Rattus norvegicus: one gene and its partner. The protein of the gene in region 1 interacts with the protein of each later gene in a biochemical or structural test. Links are inferred from orthologs where the notes say so. Each region holds a gene or a part of one and is shown on either strand. Other genes may lie near its edges.

What was found. The genes of interacting proteins can lie anywhere in the genome.
Region 2: the proteins of Flnc (region 1) and Xirp1 form a complex in vitro, tested with the Homo sapiens proteins (2 studies listed by BioGRID and IntAct, with this or other methods). The link is inferred for Rattus norvegicus from reciprocal best matches to the Homo sapiens genes FLNC and XIRP1.

What each region holds. Positions count from the first base shown.
Region 1 is NC_086022.1:59,014,959-59,022,926, reverse strand, and holds part of Flnc (filamin-C), read right to left. Parts: coding exon 7,946-7,968; intron 7,848-7,945; coding exon 7,685-7,847; intron 7,561-7,684; coding exon 7,400-7,560; intron 6,780-7,399; coding exon 6,612-6,779; intron 6,532-6,611; coding exon 6,408-6,531; intron 5,970-6,407; coding exon 5,813-5,969; intron 5,733-5,812; coding exon 5,543-5,732; intron 5,372-5,542; coding exon 5,348-5,371; intron 5,237-5,347; coding exon 4,989-5,236; intron 4,463-4,988; coding exon 4,364-4,462; intron 4,062-4,363; coding exon 3,962-4,061; intron 3,647-3,961; coding exon 3,506-3,646; intron 3,236-3,505; coding exon 3,107-3,235; intron 3,019-3,106; coding exon 2,845-3,018; intron 2,255-2,844; coding exon 2,093-2,254; intron 2,016-2,092; coding exon 1,812-2,015; intron 1,362-1,811; coding exon 1,209-1,361; intron 1,117-1,208; coding exon 994-1,116; intron 860-993; coding exon 617-859; intron 413-616; coding exon 143-412; intron 49-142; and 1 more.
Region 2 is NC_086026.1:128,623,317-128,631,284, reverse strand, and holds the end of Xirp1 (xin actin-binding repeat-containing protein 1), read left to right. Parts: intron 1-83; 5' UTR 84-87; coding exon 88-5,556; 3' UTR 5,557-6,174; downstream 6,175-7,968. UniProt on the Homo sapiens protein: Protects actin filaments from depolymerization. Required for correct cardiac intercalated disk ultrastructure via maintenance of cell-cell adhesion stability, and as a result maintains cardiac organ morphology, conductance and heart beat rhythm.

The sequences.
Region 1 (7,968 bases):
TGGACAGGCCCCCAGCTCCAGCTTCTCGGGTCCAGATGCTAAACTCAGCTGGACGGCAATAGGGTAGGGGTGGCGTCTTAGTGCTGTTGCCCCTCACATTGGCTGCCCTGGCCCCCAGCTCCCCCTGGCTTCAGCCCCTTACCTGGCACACCAGCTACACCTCGCTCCAGCCCTGTGCCTCCAGCCCGCACCTTGTGGGCACCACCTTCACCTAGCGGACCCACGGTGAACTGAAAAGGGCTTCCAGGCACATGTTGGCCCCGGTACTTGACAGCGACTGTGTGGGGGCCCATCTCCTGGGGCACAAAGCGCACACTGTATGCGCTGTCTTCTCCCTCAACGATCTCTGCGGCTTCTGTCTTGCCAGATGGACTGGTCACCTGGGCTGTCATGTCCTGAGAGCTGGCCTCACCTGAGGGGTTGGAGTGATGTCAGGCCAACAAGAGGCTGTATCTGTTCTCCGTGGTCTCCTCCCTCCTCGGTGAACCCCATTCTCTGCTCAGACCTGTCCTGGCCATCTAGGCCAAGGTGGCCAGGGATGAGGCCATTCTATCTCACAGAACAGGAGGCCCCAGCCTCCCTATGAGGGCCCGGATTCCCAGTGCTCTCTGCTTACCTTCCTGCTGTCGGGTGATGCTTCCAAAGGAGCCCAGGCGTTCCCGGCCGAGAAAATCGCCGAAAACAGCAGGGAAAGGGTCTCCGCCGACCTGGGTGGACTCCTCCACCCGGACTTCACGCTTGGTCTCCCCACCCCGAGTCTTGCTGATCTCTGTCCGCTCCGTGCGGGTGTACGTGTGACTGCTACGCGTGAAGGTGCGAGTCAGGCGCTCCTGGGCGGACACCATCTGAAACCAGTTTCCTATAGAAAGCCCCGTGGTGGGAGTGAGGAGGGAGGCAGCAGGACAGAGGCCCCAGGGTAGGCTCAAGGCGGCAAGGGCATCCCATGGCCACCCCTGCTCCACCCTGGCTCCTCTCTGCCTTTGCAGCATCTACCTGGGATCTTGAGGTTGAGGTCACAGGTGCTACCAATGGTGGCGATGGAAGGCGCCTGTCTGCGCCGGGTGATGCTCTCCTTCATGCGTCCCTCGCCAGTCACCTTCACGGTGAAGGGACTTCCTGTGAGTGAGAGAGAAAAAAGACTCAGGTTCACAGGTCACCTGCCTGGTCACCGGATTTGTCCCCTACTGAGTCCCCGCCCAGAGCCTCACCAGGCACGTGTTTGTCAGCAAACTTAATGTTGATGATGTAGGTGCCAGGTTCAGTTGGACAGTAGGTGACTTTGCAGGTACCGTCTTCCATATCCTCACAGTTAATGTCCACCTTGCTAGGACCTTCGATGCTCAGCCCCAGGCCTCCGTAGCCTAAGGGATGTGAGAAAGATGTCTCCCCTGAGCCCATGATACCTGCACCCACACTGCTCTCCTGTCCCGTGCAGAAGGCTCTGCCTAGGACAGACGTCAAATGAGTGTAGGGACCGCTAAGGAAAATGGCACCATGAGATGTGGAGAGGTGATCCAGTGTTTGTCATCAAGGCTTACTAAAGAGGCCTTCGGGAAAATTCCATACCTTGGACCTCTTGGATTCTAGTGAGTGGAGACTAACAAGCTCAGGACAGCTGAGCTTTCTCTCAGCTGTGACAGAGCTGACTGACGGGGGACATTCGCTTCCCCCCAGTGGGCTCTAGACTGAATCCCAACAGATCCAAGAAGCTCAGGGCAGGAGGGTGTGGCCAGAGGGGGAGGTTATGGGCAGGAAAGGGACAAGAATTTGTGGAGTGCTAATGATATGGGGGGTTCTGTGTCAAGAAGTACCTGCATTGCGAGTGTCCACAATGAACTCTGCCACTTGGAAGGTCTGTCCCTCGGAAAGGCCCTTGCCCCAGACTCGAACTTTGCTGGCATCGCCGATCTCCGAAGGCCCAACCAAAATCTTAAAGGGGCTGTTGGTGACGTGCTTGCCACTCTTGCGTACGCTCACCACATGCTCACCGACCTCCTTGGGGGTAAAGGAGATCCCTGTGGAGAGGGGACAGTAAGCAGAACATCCCCGAGGCCTCCCTGACCCAGGTACACCCAGGAGGCACTGCACTCACCAATGTGCCTGTTGGGCAAGCGCTTCAGCAGGCAAGGCTCCTCATTGCCTGAAGGAGCACGGATACTGGCTGTCAGCTGGCTGAGGTCACCCTCTGTGATCTTCAGTGACACATCGGTGGAGGTGCCCACATTAAGCTGGGACGTTCTCATTGAGTCGTCACCTGGGATACAGTTGGGACAGATCAGGATGTCGGCTCCAGACAGACTCTAGCATCCCTGGTCTGCATTCACCTTAACTACTAACAGCCTCAGAGGGACCCAGCATCCCTGTGCACTGTGCCTGTCTCAGTCCTGGGGAGGCTAAGTCTGTCCTTGAACCTTTATGTATTTGGTCCTGAGTCACATGGACCAGATGCTCTCTCTATGGCTCTGATCACAGTGCTAATTTGTCTCTGGGTTTTCTCAAAACAGTGTCAATATTTCAAGAGTAACTTGAAAACTGAAATAATAAAATATTTTTTCTTTTTTGTTGTTTGTTTGTTGTTTTTGGTATTTGGAGACATGGTCTTTCTATGTAGGCTTGGCTGACCTAGAGCTCTCTGTGTAGACTAGGCTGGCCTTGAGCTGACATAGATGATCACGTTTTTCAAAGCATGGACTGGTGGGATGTTCCTTGCCTGTTGTGGAGAACAGCATCCTTACATTTACTCCAGATGTTCTCCTCCCCTCAGCAGCCTCTGTCCAAATGTCCTGGGTGAGCTGACTTGAGTGTGTGTGGGGCAGGGTGCCCATGCCTGAATGTCCGTCTCACCTGTGATCTTGGCCGTGAAGGGGCTCCCTGGGATATGCTTGTCGTCAAAGCGCACAATGATGCTGTAGTCTCCAGGTGCTGTGGGTAGGTAGGACACGGTACAGGTGCCATCTTTGTTGTCCTTGCAGGTGATCTCCGCCTTGGATGGGCCCTCCACAGCCAGTGACAGCCCCCCTGTAAGCGAAAGTGGCTGAGATCAGAATCTATCCCTGTGCCTACAAACCTGGCAAGTCCCCTCACCTCTTTCGGCAGTTCTCCTCACCTTCCCCAGCGTCTTTGGTGACAATTGTGAAGGTGGCAGGCTTGTTGACCATGCCATGGCTCAGACCTGGCCCATAGGCACTGACATGCCCGCTGTTGATGGCATCCACATAGAACTGCAGAGGGCTCCCTGGGTAGTGACAGGTGGAGCTGGATTAGCATAGGGACAGGGGCTTCCCACAGCCATGTTGGCCCCCAGCATCTTCAACAGCTTTGGATTTTGGAGCCCCGTGCCTCTGCTACATGGACTTAGAAGCCCATTACCATCAAGAAACACATTTCCCAGAACCTTCTTTGGTGCCTGTACATGGCAGTGCTTACATATGTATTTAAAGGAGGCTGGCAGGACCAACATGGTGTTGGCTCCTCTTACCGTGGTCTCACCCTGCTCCCAACTCACCAGGGATATGGTTGCCATCGTACTTGATTCCCATCTGGTGCAGGCCTTTCTCTGTAGGTGCGTATCTCACTGTGATGGTACCGTCCTTGTTGTCAGTGATGTTGGGACGTGCTGTTTTACCAGAGGGCATCCGGACCTCCCCTGAAAGGCAGACATACTTACATGTAGGTAGGACACTAGTTTCTCCCAACACATGTCCCTGATGTCCCAGGGCCTGTTCTCAAGTGGCTCTGCTTTCCCCAGAGGCCAGACACTGGGAAGCAGCCCATTCAGGAATAGAAGGACTAGGAGACAGAAGGCTTGAACTTGAGTTCTCATTCTGCCCAACTTGTGAGACGCAACCTAATTTGTTTCCCCTCTCTGGGCCCTAGGTCTCATCCCTGCAATGATCTTAGCTGAAAGGCCAGGAAGCGTTCTCAGTTCTCAACAGAGTCTCACGTGTGGTGCACCCATTACCTGTCAGCTCCCCTTTCTGCACAGTGAATGGGATGACCAAGTTGAAAGGCCTCAGCATGGACTCCAAAGGCTCCACAGGAACCACGGGCTCCTCTGTGGCCTGTAGCAGGTGAGAGGAAAGAGAAGGCTGTAGTCGGTGGAGAACGCCGGGGAGTGTGGCCTGCCTCAAGACTGAAGTCAGAGAGAACGAAGAAAGAACAAGGTTAATAGTGAGACACCAATGGCAGAAGATGCGTCAGCTGCAGGAGAAGGGGTGCCATACTCAGATTTGGGCTCCCTCTGCCCATCCTAATGCCTGCATTCCCCAAGAGGCCCAACCATGGCCCAAGCCTGCAGAACAGAAGGAAGAATGAAGAAAGTAGGGAGAAGGATGACGAGGCCTGTCGTGGGAAGCTCTAGTACCCAGTGTGTGGGGCAGGTGCCAGGCCGAAGTGGGGCATATGGCTGGTGCAGCTGCAGCACTTCCGCAGGCTCCTCCACATGAGGCAGCGGGTCACATGCCTGGGGAATAAGGCACAGGGTGTACAATGTGGGGGGACCTAGATCTCAGAACCAACTCTCAGAATGGCCTAGGACTCAAGTCCTGGGTGGGTATCTCAGGTGTTCTATCCTTGTCCTGCAGGGCCACCCCTGTAGAAACAAGAGCTAAGGACAGTGGCCCAAAGGTCAGAAAAGAACACAGTGAGCTCCTTCAGAGAGGGATGATACCTCTCTGGTCAAAAGCAGAGCTGCACCACCTCCCTGCACATTGGAAGGCTACAGGAAATACAAAGGCTCATTCTAGAGTACTCTGGCTCCAGGATCTGTTTATCAGACATGGGGACAAGTTCTCTGACTCCTTGAGGACAGCTCCTAGGATCCCTTGCAGCTACTGAGAGGCATATTCTGAGTCCTTGAGGACAGCTCCTAGGATCCCTTGCAGCGACTAAGAGGTATATTCTCTGATTCCTTGAGGACAGCTCCTAGGATCCCTTGCAGCTACTAAGAGGCATATTCTGCATAACATGCACCATGGCCATGAGCTTACCAGCACATGGAAGGGGCTGTTGGGAATGTGTTCACCCCCAAAGCGGATGGTGATGACATATTTGCCCGGCTCAGGTGCTGTGTAGTAGATATCAAAGGTACCATCGTGGTTCTCAACTACATCCACATCGAGCTCTGCCCCGTCAGGTGTGGATACTGTGCAGGTCACCTTCCCCTTGCCTGCTGCCTTGGCATCCACTGTAATCACAGTCTCCTCTCCAATCTGGATTCTGGGACCCAGGCAGGCACCTACCACATGAAAAAGCCAGATCAGGGGCTGTGGAGGCCATGTCCAGCTCCCCCTTTCCCGGCTGCTCCCACAGCCTCCAGCCCTTAGTAAAGAAAGAAAAAGTTACTCACCCAGTCCATGGCCTCCAATGGATACTGGAAATAGAGAAGAAAGTTAGGTCATTAAGGTTCAAGATGACCTAGAGGTGGTGGGAGCTGGGCTGGGCAAAGAGTATAGACTTTTTGCCAGCATGGCCCCAGGACTGGGCTGGGAGACTGAATGCACTCTAAGGGGCTGACGAGAAGGGACTCAGAGTTGGTACTCACCTGTAACAAGGCACTTGCTGGCATCCCCTGTAGGCAGGGCGTGGATACGGAAGGGTGAGTAAGGGATCTCATCGCCGCCATACTTGATGGTGATGGTGTACCGACCACTCATGTCTGGCAGGTAGGACACGGTGTATGTGCCATCCCCATTGTCTCGGATGTTGGCCTTCTTGGGTTTACCCTCGGGATCCTAGAGGAGAAGGAGAGGTCAGGCCTACCTATGTCCACAGAGGGCATATATGCTGGGCAGGGGGCTGTGCCTAGACTTACCAGGATCTGGACTGTGAGAAGCCCCTCACCAGCATCACGAGCATCAATGGTGAACTCCACGGGCAGGCTGGCGGGGATGCCGGAGGCATTGAGGCCAGGGCCACTGGCCCGCACTTTGCTGGCATCGTGGGCCGGAAGCACTTTGATCTTGAAAGGGCTTGAGAAACAGAAGGAGCGGACAGTTGTCAGGGAGTTGGAGCTTGAGATATGTGAGCCTTCCCACATGGGCAGAAGGAGTGACTCTGCAGGGCAGCCCTGAAGGCCTGCTTCCCAGGACATCTTGAATCTTGGAGAAGGGTCACTGAAGGACCCATGGAACATAGATAGTGTTTTCTCCAAAGGAAGATGCTGTTAATTGTTTAAAGAGTCTGCACACTTTCTGTGGCTCTTTTCCTTGATGCTTATCTGGTGCTGAAGCTAGTGGGGTGATATTACCTTCTGGGTAGGGAACCTTGGAGTGGGGTAGGATGGGGTAGTCCCTGAAGGAGGTTTAGACAAATAAGGGGGGGGGGGACTCTGCCCAAGTCCTGGCCTTGAAGGTTAGGCCCTAGGAGAAGCTCTAGCTCAGCATGGATTGGTCAAGGCTGGCCCTCACCTGCGTGGCACCTCCTGGTCAGCATACTTGACAGCTACTGTATAGGGTCCGTCAGTGGCAGGCGTGTAGTGGACAGTGTGGGTACCGTCGCCATTGTCACGCACCTCCACAGGCTCAGCCACACCTGGGCAGAGGCAGAGGAGTGTCAACAGGGCCTCCTGGAACCTCCCCTCCCTCCCCTCTTTCACTCCAGACATTCCATACCTGTGGGTCCCAGCACTGCCACCTGTAGAGGGGCCCGGCCAGCTTGACTGCAGTCCACTGTGAAGGTCTGAGGTACCCGAGCCCTGACGCCAGTCCCTAGCCCTGGCCCTGAACACTTCACCTTCCCAGGGTCCACAACATCCTTCACAGGAACTCGGAATGGGCTTCCTGGGAGAGTGAGAACAGAGATGGTGGAGGTCAGCCTCTCCCCACTCCCTGGCACAGTTTGTCTTCCCGCACTGAGGATCTGTGGAGCAGGCAACCTCCCTGCTGCTGAGAGGCCCACTGAGACAGAGCAACATGAGAAGCAGTTTGGAACTTGCTGAGAAATAAAAAAAGAGAGTAAGCGAATTTGACTGCAGAACGAGGCAGGGCAAACCTCACCTTCTTAGACTCAGCCTGGGAAGAAAGCCCTCCTAAATCTTTAAAATGTTAACAATGGAATTAAAAAAAAAAACCAGCTTATGTCTTTTGACATTGTAGCTGAAATATGAAGAGGACACAGAATTAAATAAGAGGAAGCAGTGTCTTGTTTTAGCAGACCTCTTCCTACAATAACAGAAGACATGACATACCCTAGCAGTTGGGCTTTGGACAGCAAATCCTGCCAGTGGATCTGTATGAGCAAAGTCTGGTGCAAGGGCCTCTGAGAATGAACTGGAATGTTCTCACATCCACAGCACCTCCTGCCCTGCCTCTTACCCTCTGCAAATCTCCACATCCCTTTCCTCATGACCTCAGCATCCCATCACCCTCTTCCCAGAGCCCATCCCCCACTTTTTGCCCACCTGGGATGGGTTGTCCCCCAAAGGTGATGTTGACATCATAGTCCCCAGGAGTGAAGGGGACGTACTCCACAGTGCAACTGCCATCTTTGTTGTCCTTGCAGGACATCTTAGCTTCTGAGGGGCCCTCGATGGCTAGGCCAAGGCCTCCTGTGCCAGCACCCCTATAAAAGAACACTTCTGTCAGCTGTTCCAGAGCCAATGAGAGGTATGGAAGGGATTGGGGGACAGGGAGGAGAAAAGAGGGCAGGCTGAGTCAAGGTCAAAGCTAGGCAGAGAAAAGGATACCTAGTTTCCACAGTGAAGCGGTTGGCCTTGTTGACCAAGCCACCCTCTAGGCCTGGTCCGAAGGCCCGGACTCGGGTGGGGTCACAGCCCTCCGTCACACCCACTCGGAAGGGGCTCTTGGGCACGGCTACTTCGTCATACAGCACCTCCACCAAATGCACACCTGGAAACCAGTCACTGAGTCAGTCAAGGAGAGCAGAACCCCCATCCCTGCCCACCCGGGAATTCTGTGAGCCATCCCCTCTCCCACGAATTCCCTACCCTCTTCGTAGGCCGTGTACTGC
Region 2 (7,968 bases), on another chromosome or scaffold:
CCACACACAGTCCCTACCCTTCCTCCTGCTAGTTCACCCAGGAACTGCCCCTCCCTTAACTCAGCTTCTCCCCTCCTTCCCAGAAGGATGGCCGATGCCCAGATGCAGGTAGTTCATACACCAACCATCCAAATGAGGACTGGAGAGGACCTGCCCCTTCCCCCTCCCTCAGCCCTAGAGGGTCTGCCGCCACCGCCCCCCAAAGAATCTTTCTCCAAGTTCCAGCAGCAGCGGCAAGCCAACGAGCTTCGCCGTCTCTACAAACACATCCACCCTGAGCTTCGGAAGAACCTCGAGGAGGCTGTAGCCGAGGACCTGGCCAAGGTACTCGGTTCGGAGGAGCCCACCGAGGGCGATGTGCAATGTATGCGCTGGATCTTTGAGAACTGGAGTTTGGATGCCATTGGCGACCACGAGAGGCCAGCTGGCAAGGAGCCTGTGTCAGGTGGCAACGTTCAGGCCACCTCTCGGAAGTTTGAGGAAGGCTCCTTTACCAACAGCTCAGATCTGGAGCCAGGACCCCAGCTGTCAGGGGGTGACGTCCGAGCTACCAGACAGCTGTTTGAGACCAAGTCACTGGATGCACTGACAGGCCAGGAAGAGGCAACACAGATGACCATGAAGGAACCTGCAGTCTCTGGAGATGTACAGGGAACCAGAAAACTCTTTGAGACTAAGCCCCTCGACATGCTGGGCTCCTGCCCCTCTATCCAGGACCAGAGCCCTTTAGAGCTGCGCTCAGAGATTCAGGAGCTGAAGGGTGATGTGAAGAAGACGGTGAAGCTGTTTCAGACGGAGCCTCTATGTGCCATCCAGGATGCAGAGGGCGCCATCCATGAAGTCAAGGCTGCCTGTCGGGAGGAGATCCAGAGCAATGCAGTGAGGTCAGCTCGCTGGCTCTTTGAGACCCGACCTCTGGACGCCTTCAACCAGGACCCCAGCCAGGTGAGGGTGATTCGGGGGATCTCCCTCGAGGAGGGAGCCCTGCCCGACGTCAGTGCAACTCGCTGGATCTTCGAGACGCAGCCTCTGGATGCCATTCGTGAGATCTTGGTGGACGAGAAGGACTTCCAGCCATCTCCAGATCTCATCCCTCCTGGTCCAGACGTTCAGCATCAGCGACATCTGTTTGAGACCTGCGCCCTGGACACTCTGAAGGGAGAAAGAGAAACCGAGGCAGAGGCTCCAGCCAAGGAGGAGGTGATTCCTGGTGACGTCCGCTCTACACTCTGGCTGTTTGAAACAAAACCCCTGGATGCTTTCAGAGACCAGGTCCAAGTGGGTCACCTGCAACGGGTGGATCACCAGAAGGGTGAGGGGCCTGTGATAGAGTGTCTGTCCAGTAACGGCACTTCAGCGCTGCCTCTGTCTCAGGGTGTCCCCCAGAACAATGGGCCGAAAGGGGATGTGAAAACCTTCAAGAATCTTTTTGAGACCCTTCCCTTAGACAGCATTGGGCAGGGTGAGCCTTCAGCCTGTGGAAACATAAACAGAGGACAAAGGACTGATTCTACTGGGCTGTCCGAGGGCGCCGATGCCCCCGTATATGCTATGCAGGACAGCAGAGGACAGCTTCATGCCCTGACTTCTGTCAGCAGAGAGCAGGTAGTTGGAGGTGATGTACAAGGCTACAAGTGGATGTTTGAGACACAGCCCCTGGACCGGCTGGGCAGAAGCCCCAGTACCGTGGATGTGGTGCGAGGCATCACCCGGCAAGAAGTGGTGGCTGGGGATGTAGGCACCACTCGGTGGCTCTTTGAGACGCAACCACTGGAGATGATCCACCAACAAGAGCAGCAGAAGCGAGAGGAGGAGGAGGGGAGGGGTCCAGGAGGCCCCCCTCCTGAGCTCCCCCAGAAGGGCGATGTACAAACCATCCGCTGGCTATTTGAGACCTACCCTATGAGCGAGTTGGCAGAGAAGCAGGAATCTGAGGTCACAGGCCCTGTGAGCAAGGCAGAGGCACAGTCATGCACCTGGATGTTTGGGTCCCAATCTCTGAACCAGGCAGAGGGCTCTGGGGAGCAGCACTTGCAAACCAGCCAGGTCCAGGCTGGAGACAGACAGACAGACAGCCATGTCTTTGAGACTGAATCTCTGTCAGCCCAGGGCCAGTCCAGTGGGAGAAAGCCTGTAAGGTACTGCAGCCGAGTGGAGATTCCTTCCGGGCAGGTATCTCGGCAGAAAGAAGTTTTCCAAGCCCTGGAAGCAGGCAAGAGGGGGGTACAGGAGACTGTTTTAAGCCCCGGATCCATCCCCACAGGCTCCGTGCATAAATTCACCTGGCTCTTTGAAAACTGCCCCATGGGCTCCCTGGCAGCAGAGAGTGTCAGTGGGGGCAACCTCCAGGAAGAACAGCCCAAAGTCTCTGCAGACCCTGGGACCCCAGAGAGGCAGGAGACAGCAGCCGAGAGAACCCTTCGGACTTTGCATGCCACCCCTGGCATCCTGCACCACGGAGGGATCCTCATGGAAGCCCGAGGGCCAGGGGAGCTCTGCCTTGCCAAGTATGTGCTCCCAAGCCCAGGGCAGGGGCGCCCCTGTGTACAGAAGGAGGAGCTGGTGTGCGGTGAGCTCCCCAGGATCGTCCGTCAAGTGCTGGGCCGGACAGATGTGGACCAGCAGGGACTGCTGGTTCAGGAGGACACAGCTGGCCAACTCCGACTCCACCCACTCAAACTGCCAGGGCCTGGTGACCCTGAGAATATTGAAGACATGGACCCGGAGCTCCAGCAGCTGCTGGCCTGTGGCCTGGGAGTCTCTATGGCAAAGACGGGGCTGGTGATGCAAGAAACAGGACAGGGCCTAGTGGCATTGACTGCCTACTCCCTCCAGCCCCAGCCAACCAGCAGGGGCCCTGAAAGAAGCAGTGTGCAGCTGCTGGCCAGCTGCATAGACAAAGGAGAACTGCACAGCCTTCCCAGTTTGCGGTGGGAGCCGCCAACAGACTCAAGTTCAGTACCAGTTACTGAGGAGACCCAGAGGCTTCCCCCAACTGAGAGCATCATACGCGTCACCCCATTAGACTCCACCATGAAGATGGGGCATCTGAGAGTCTCAGGATCCACACCCTGCCCACCTCTACCTCGGGCAGCTGGAAAAGTGGTCCTTCCAAATGGGAGACCGGGAGCACCATTGCAGGAAGCAAGGAAGCAAGTGGATATCAGCCATGCTGGGCAGAAAGGGAAGGCAGCCTCAGGAAGACCAGAAGGAACCATTGCTCCTCCTTTAGGGTCTGGGGCTCCAAATCTCCAGGAGGCCATGCAAAATCTGCGTTTGGCAACTGCTGAGGCCCAAAGCCTGCACCAGCAGGTTCTGAGCAGGCATGCACAGGGCTCTGACCCTGCAGCCACCTCCATATCTGCTCAAGATGTTCTGCAAGTGCCGACTCCTACCACTACCCAAGGTAGCATCATGCCTGTGGCTGGAAGGGACGCCAGGATCACAGCGGTCCCCAGAAAGGTCAGTGGAGACAACAAAGCAGTCCCCAGAGGGCTGCCTAGGGGGCGGGTGACCATACAGGATGGTATCTATGCTGCTCACCCTGTGAGAACCTCTGACCTACCTGGGGCCATCCAGCCTTCTGAAAAAGAACCCCAGCCAAGGGACAGCCCACCCCAGGCAGACCAAGGTCAGAGTCCCAGGCCAGAATATCACGAGCCTGGGGGTCACTCACAAAGGGCTTGGGGACCTCTGGGGAAAGTGATGCCACAAATCTGGCCTGAGTGCCTCCAGGCAGCAGACACCTCCCTGAAGACTGTCCCTCTAACTCACCACACTCTGACACCTAAACCCCAGGCTGCAGGTGACAGCCTGCACTCCCATAATGCCTCTCCTCCTACTCTCCCAGCTGCTGTGACAGAAGAACCAGACCACCCAGCTCAAGGCCACCACCAGAAGGACTCCGTCCAGCAGGCCTCCAAGCCCCTGCGGGAACCCCTTCTTCACAGTCACAACAGACCTGCTGGCCAGAAAACCCTTGAAGGGTCAGAGACAAAGCTCTCTAAAGCGGAATCCACTGTGCTTCCAAGAAAGAAACCCCCAGTGCCTCCGAAACCTGCCCATCTAAGCCAAGTCCACCCACCTCATAGGCTGCCCAAGCCCTTAGCAGCCTCTGCCAGCATCTCAGAAGCAGGACAAGACCATAAGCCAGGTGAGCCAGGTGTAGCCAACCCTGGGTCGGCCAAAGCTCCCACAATAGCAGGTCAGGGCTGCCTGCCCCTGGCTGAGTGCTCCAAGGGGCAGAAACAGCCTATGCGCCAGTATCCACTCAGCACCACAGCTTCCAGACCTAGCGGGGGCCAAACAAGCAACAGCAACAGCCAGAGCCCTGAGTCTCGCAAGTTGACCATTCTCAACAATGACAATGACGTCAGCCCACCACAAAAGCACCCTAGCTCCCCAAAACAGCAGCCTATGGATGGTTCCAAGCAGAGGACCCCTGAGAGCCCAGAGATTGTTCAGGGCAGCCATCAAGAGCTCCAGGGCCTCCTGAGCCAAGTGCAAACCCTGGAGAAGGAAGCAGCCCACACCGTGAATGTGCAGACCCTGCGGAAGCTCTTTGAGGGTGCACCCCAGCTGGCAGGGGGTACCCGTCAGGTTCCCACAGCTCCTCACAAGACTGAGGTCTCAGTGGAGCAGGCCTTTGGGGAGCTAACTCGGGTGAGTTCAAAGGTTGCCCAGCTGAAAGAACAGACCCTAGCCAGGCTGCTGGACATCGAAGAAACAGTGCACAAGGCTCTGAGCTCCATATTTAGCTTCCAGTCCGAGGGTCACACAAGCAGCCCTCCACAGGGAAGTGCAAAGGATCTCGGTGTGAAAAAGGTCTCCACCAGTAACAGAGCCAGACCGATGGGCTCCAACCAGGTCAAAGAGCCACCTGCAGTCGAAAACCAAGAAAAGGTTGAGAGCCGTCCTGAGGCGCAAGGTCAAGATGAGATTAGAAATCATGCAGAGGCCAGAGGTCAGGCAGCAGTGAATGTCCTGCCCTCCAGGAGGCTGGAGACGGCAAGAGCCGAGCCTGGCCTCCAACAAGTCTCACCTTCCTGCAGGGGATCCTCCTCTCCAACTTTCATCTCTATCCAATCAGCTGCAAAGACGCTTCTAGATGCTTCCAGCCCTCAGGGAAGCCATTCTATCTCAGGGAAAAATACACACCTAGCTCAGGACATAAGCCAAGCCCTGCTCTACCAGAGAGATATCCAGGATCAGGCTGGGACAAAGGAGATGGCCATCAAGGGCTCTGTGCCCACAGGGCAGCAAGAGAATGTTCTGGAATTCCAGACTGGGTCTGCTACCTCCAAGTCCTATGGAGCCACGAAAACAGTGACTGAACAGTATGAGGAGATGGACCAATTTGGGAATACAGTCCTCACTTCCTCCACCACCATCACCCAGCAGGCAGAGCCTCTGATGGACCCCAGGCCCCAACTCGGGCTCTACACTTTTCCCATGCTAAGGCAGTTCCTCCACAGTCCCTCCAGGTTCAACAGCGACCTGGCTGGTGCCGAGATACCATGGGTTCCCTGTAGCCACTTCCATCCGGCTGCCCAGTGAGCCCCTCTGTCTCCCCCCAGTCTTGGGTTCCTCCCCCAGAGCTCTAGGACTGAGTCACGGGCCTACCTCCAGGACATGTGGAACAATGACCAAGAAAAACGGGGCCTTCGGAGAGCTGATGAGGGCTGTTTGCCTTGTTCGTTCCAATTCTTGGGAAGGGACAAGAAAAGTAAAGCAGCCATCCACAGGAAAGCTGGATGGGTAGGACAGGACCTGACAGGTGGTTGTGGAGATCTAGCCCACACTAGCCCAGCTCACATTCGCACATTCGAGTCTGCATCTTATTGCCTAGAGCTGGATAGACACCCCTCCACTGTGTCCCTCTATGGCCAGCCTTTCTCTTAGGTTATGGAATGTGGCTACCTCAATCCCTGGTGAGGACCCGGGGCTGAGCAGACTGGACATGACATTGGTCTCTATTTGAGATTGGACTGAAGGTTCCAGAAAAACCTGGGTGCTGCCTCTTCATCACCAGTGGTCCAAAGGGCACTGAGAGAACGCTAGCAGCCAATAGTGTTCCTAGCAGCCGAATACACCACCCTTCCTGATCCCATCACCCCCCCACTCTGCACCCCCAATGGGAAAAATGACCCAAAAATAAACCCAAAAGAGATTCTCTGCTCTGTGTGTCAGACTGTGTATGTGCTGCCCCAGAGTCTGCATTCACAGGGAGGACAGTCATGGTCACCAGGTGCCTCTGCCAACAGTAACAATACAGATGCTGAAGATCCATTCAGCATTCTCCAACAGTGTACATCAGAAAACAGAAAGGCCCGGCCCACTGCCCTGCTCTCTATTATCTACACGCTCATATACACATATGACACATACACATGCACACCACAGCAGCACACACGCCATGTACCACTCTCACGCATGTACACACGCGCAGGTGTGTACCACGGGCATCAACACGACACAGACCTACATGCTGCTGCCCCCTTATCTTTACCTCCCTCCTGATGTTCTTAGATGTCATTCCAGGGGAAGTTCTTAAAATCCTGGCCCAGAATGGGAAAACAACCCCATACAGCCAGGGAGAGAGGTGGGAGCACTAGAGGAAGTCCCACCAGAATTCCCATGCCCAGAGTGGCTCAGATACTTCTTGTTCACAGTGGGTACCATGTGCCAAGCAGGAGGTGTTCTTAGGAAGGGAGCGATCAGATCCTGGTTGGAAACTGCAAAGATTTTAGTGAAAACCGTTCTCCCTCTCTCAAAAACCACCAAACATTCTAAGCCAGGTCCATTGTAGGTCACAGGGATGACAGCAAGATCCGGTGGGCTGCTGTGTCAGGAGACTGACTTAACATGAGGAGGAGGAGAGACAAGAAAGATGACATCAGAAGGAGGGTGAGTGCCTAACTTTCCACTCGGAAGACACAAGTCATGAGTCATGGCAGTGTGACCATGACAGAGTAGCCTCAGAGAAGTAGCAAGGGTGGAGCTCCTTAAGGAAGAACCACCTGACAACTGAATGTCAAGAGAACAGGACTCAGGGCAAGCAGTGTGTTCACATAATTTTGGAGGAGGAGTCAGGAGGAAGTTCAAGGTCATTGTTAGCAACTAGTAAGTTTGGGGTCAGCCTGGGCTGCATTAGACTGTCTCATAAGAAAGGGTGTGGGAGCCGGGACACAGCCTAAAAAACCAAAAGTGTGGGAGTGTGTATGCATACACTCAAGTGGTGCCTTGTTCACCTGACACGCACAAGCTCCCAGTAAATCAATCCTCAGTAGCACAAAAGATCAAATACTTGGCCCAGGTAACCGAGTGATCCCTCACCTTCTCTCTCCCCCCACATTCCACAGGCTCTTGCTTGGTCACTGGTCCCAGCACCTTAGCACAGGAGTGTACTCTTCAATGTCCTTGTTTGTCAATGGGTGTGATTGTGGCAACAACCCTGTGAAGACTGTGAATTGATAGGTGTTAATAAGCCTTTGGCTGGCATTCATTCTTAGTACTGCAATTTAGGGGAGAGCTTTGTTTTCTGAAATTCGAGACACGGACTTGAAACAGTAGGTAGATCAAACTAGTCCTGAATTTGTAATAATTCTCCTGCACCCCAACCCCCATCTGTACTGAGGATTACAAGTGTGTACCACACGGCTCAGCAGCCTTGTTTTTTGTTTTATTCGGTTTTGAGGGTCTCGTATCAAACTGGCCTCAAAATTATTCTGTGGCTGAAGATGATCTTGAGCCCCTGGTGCTCTGATCTTGCCTATTCCTCTCCAGACTTGTGTCCACAGCCTTCTGGAATATTTTTAACATCTCCTTTCCCACCTGCAGGGGGAGTGTGCCCGGTGTTGTTCATCTTGGTTACTAGTCAAACGAGCATACACATGAACGAAACGATTGAGTCAATCTGTGGATTCACGCTACTGGCATTCAATAGCGCTTCGTGCCAGGATCTGTTCA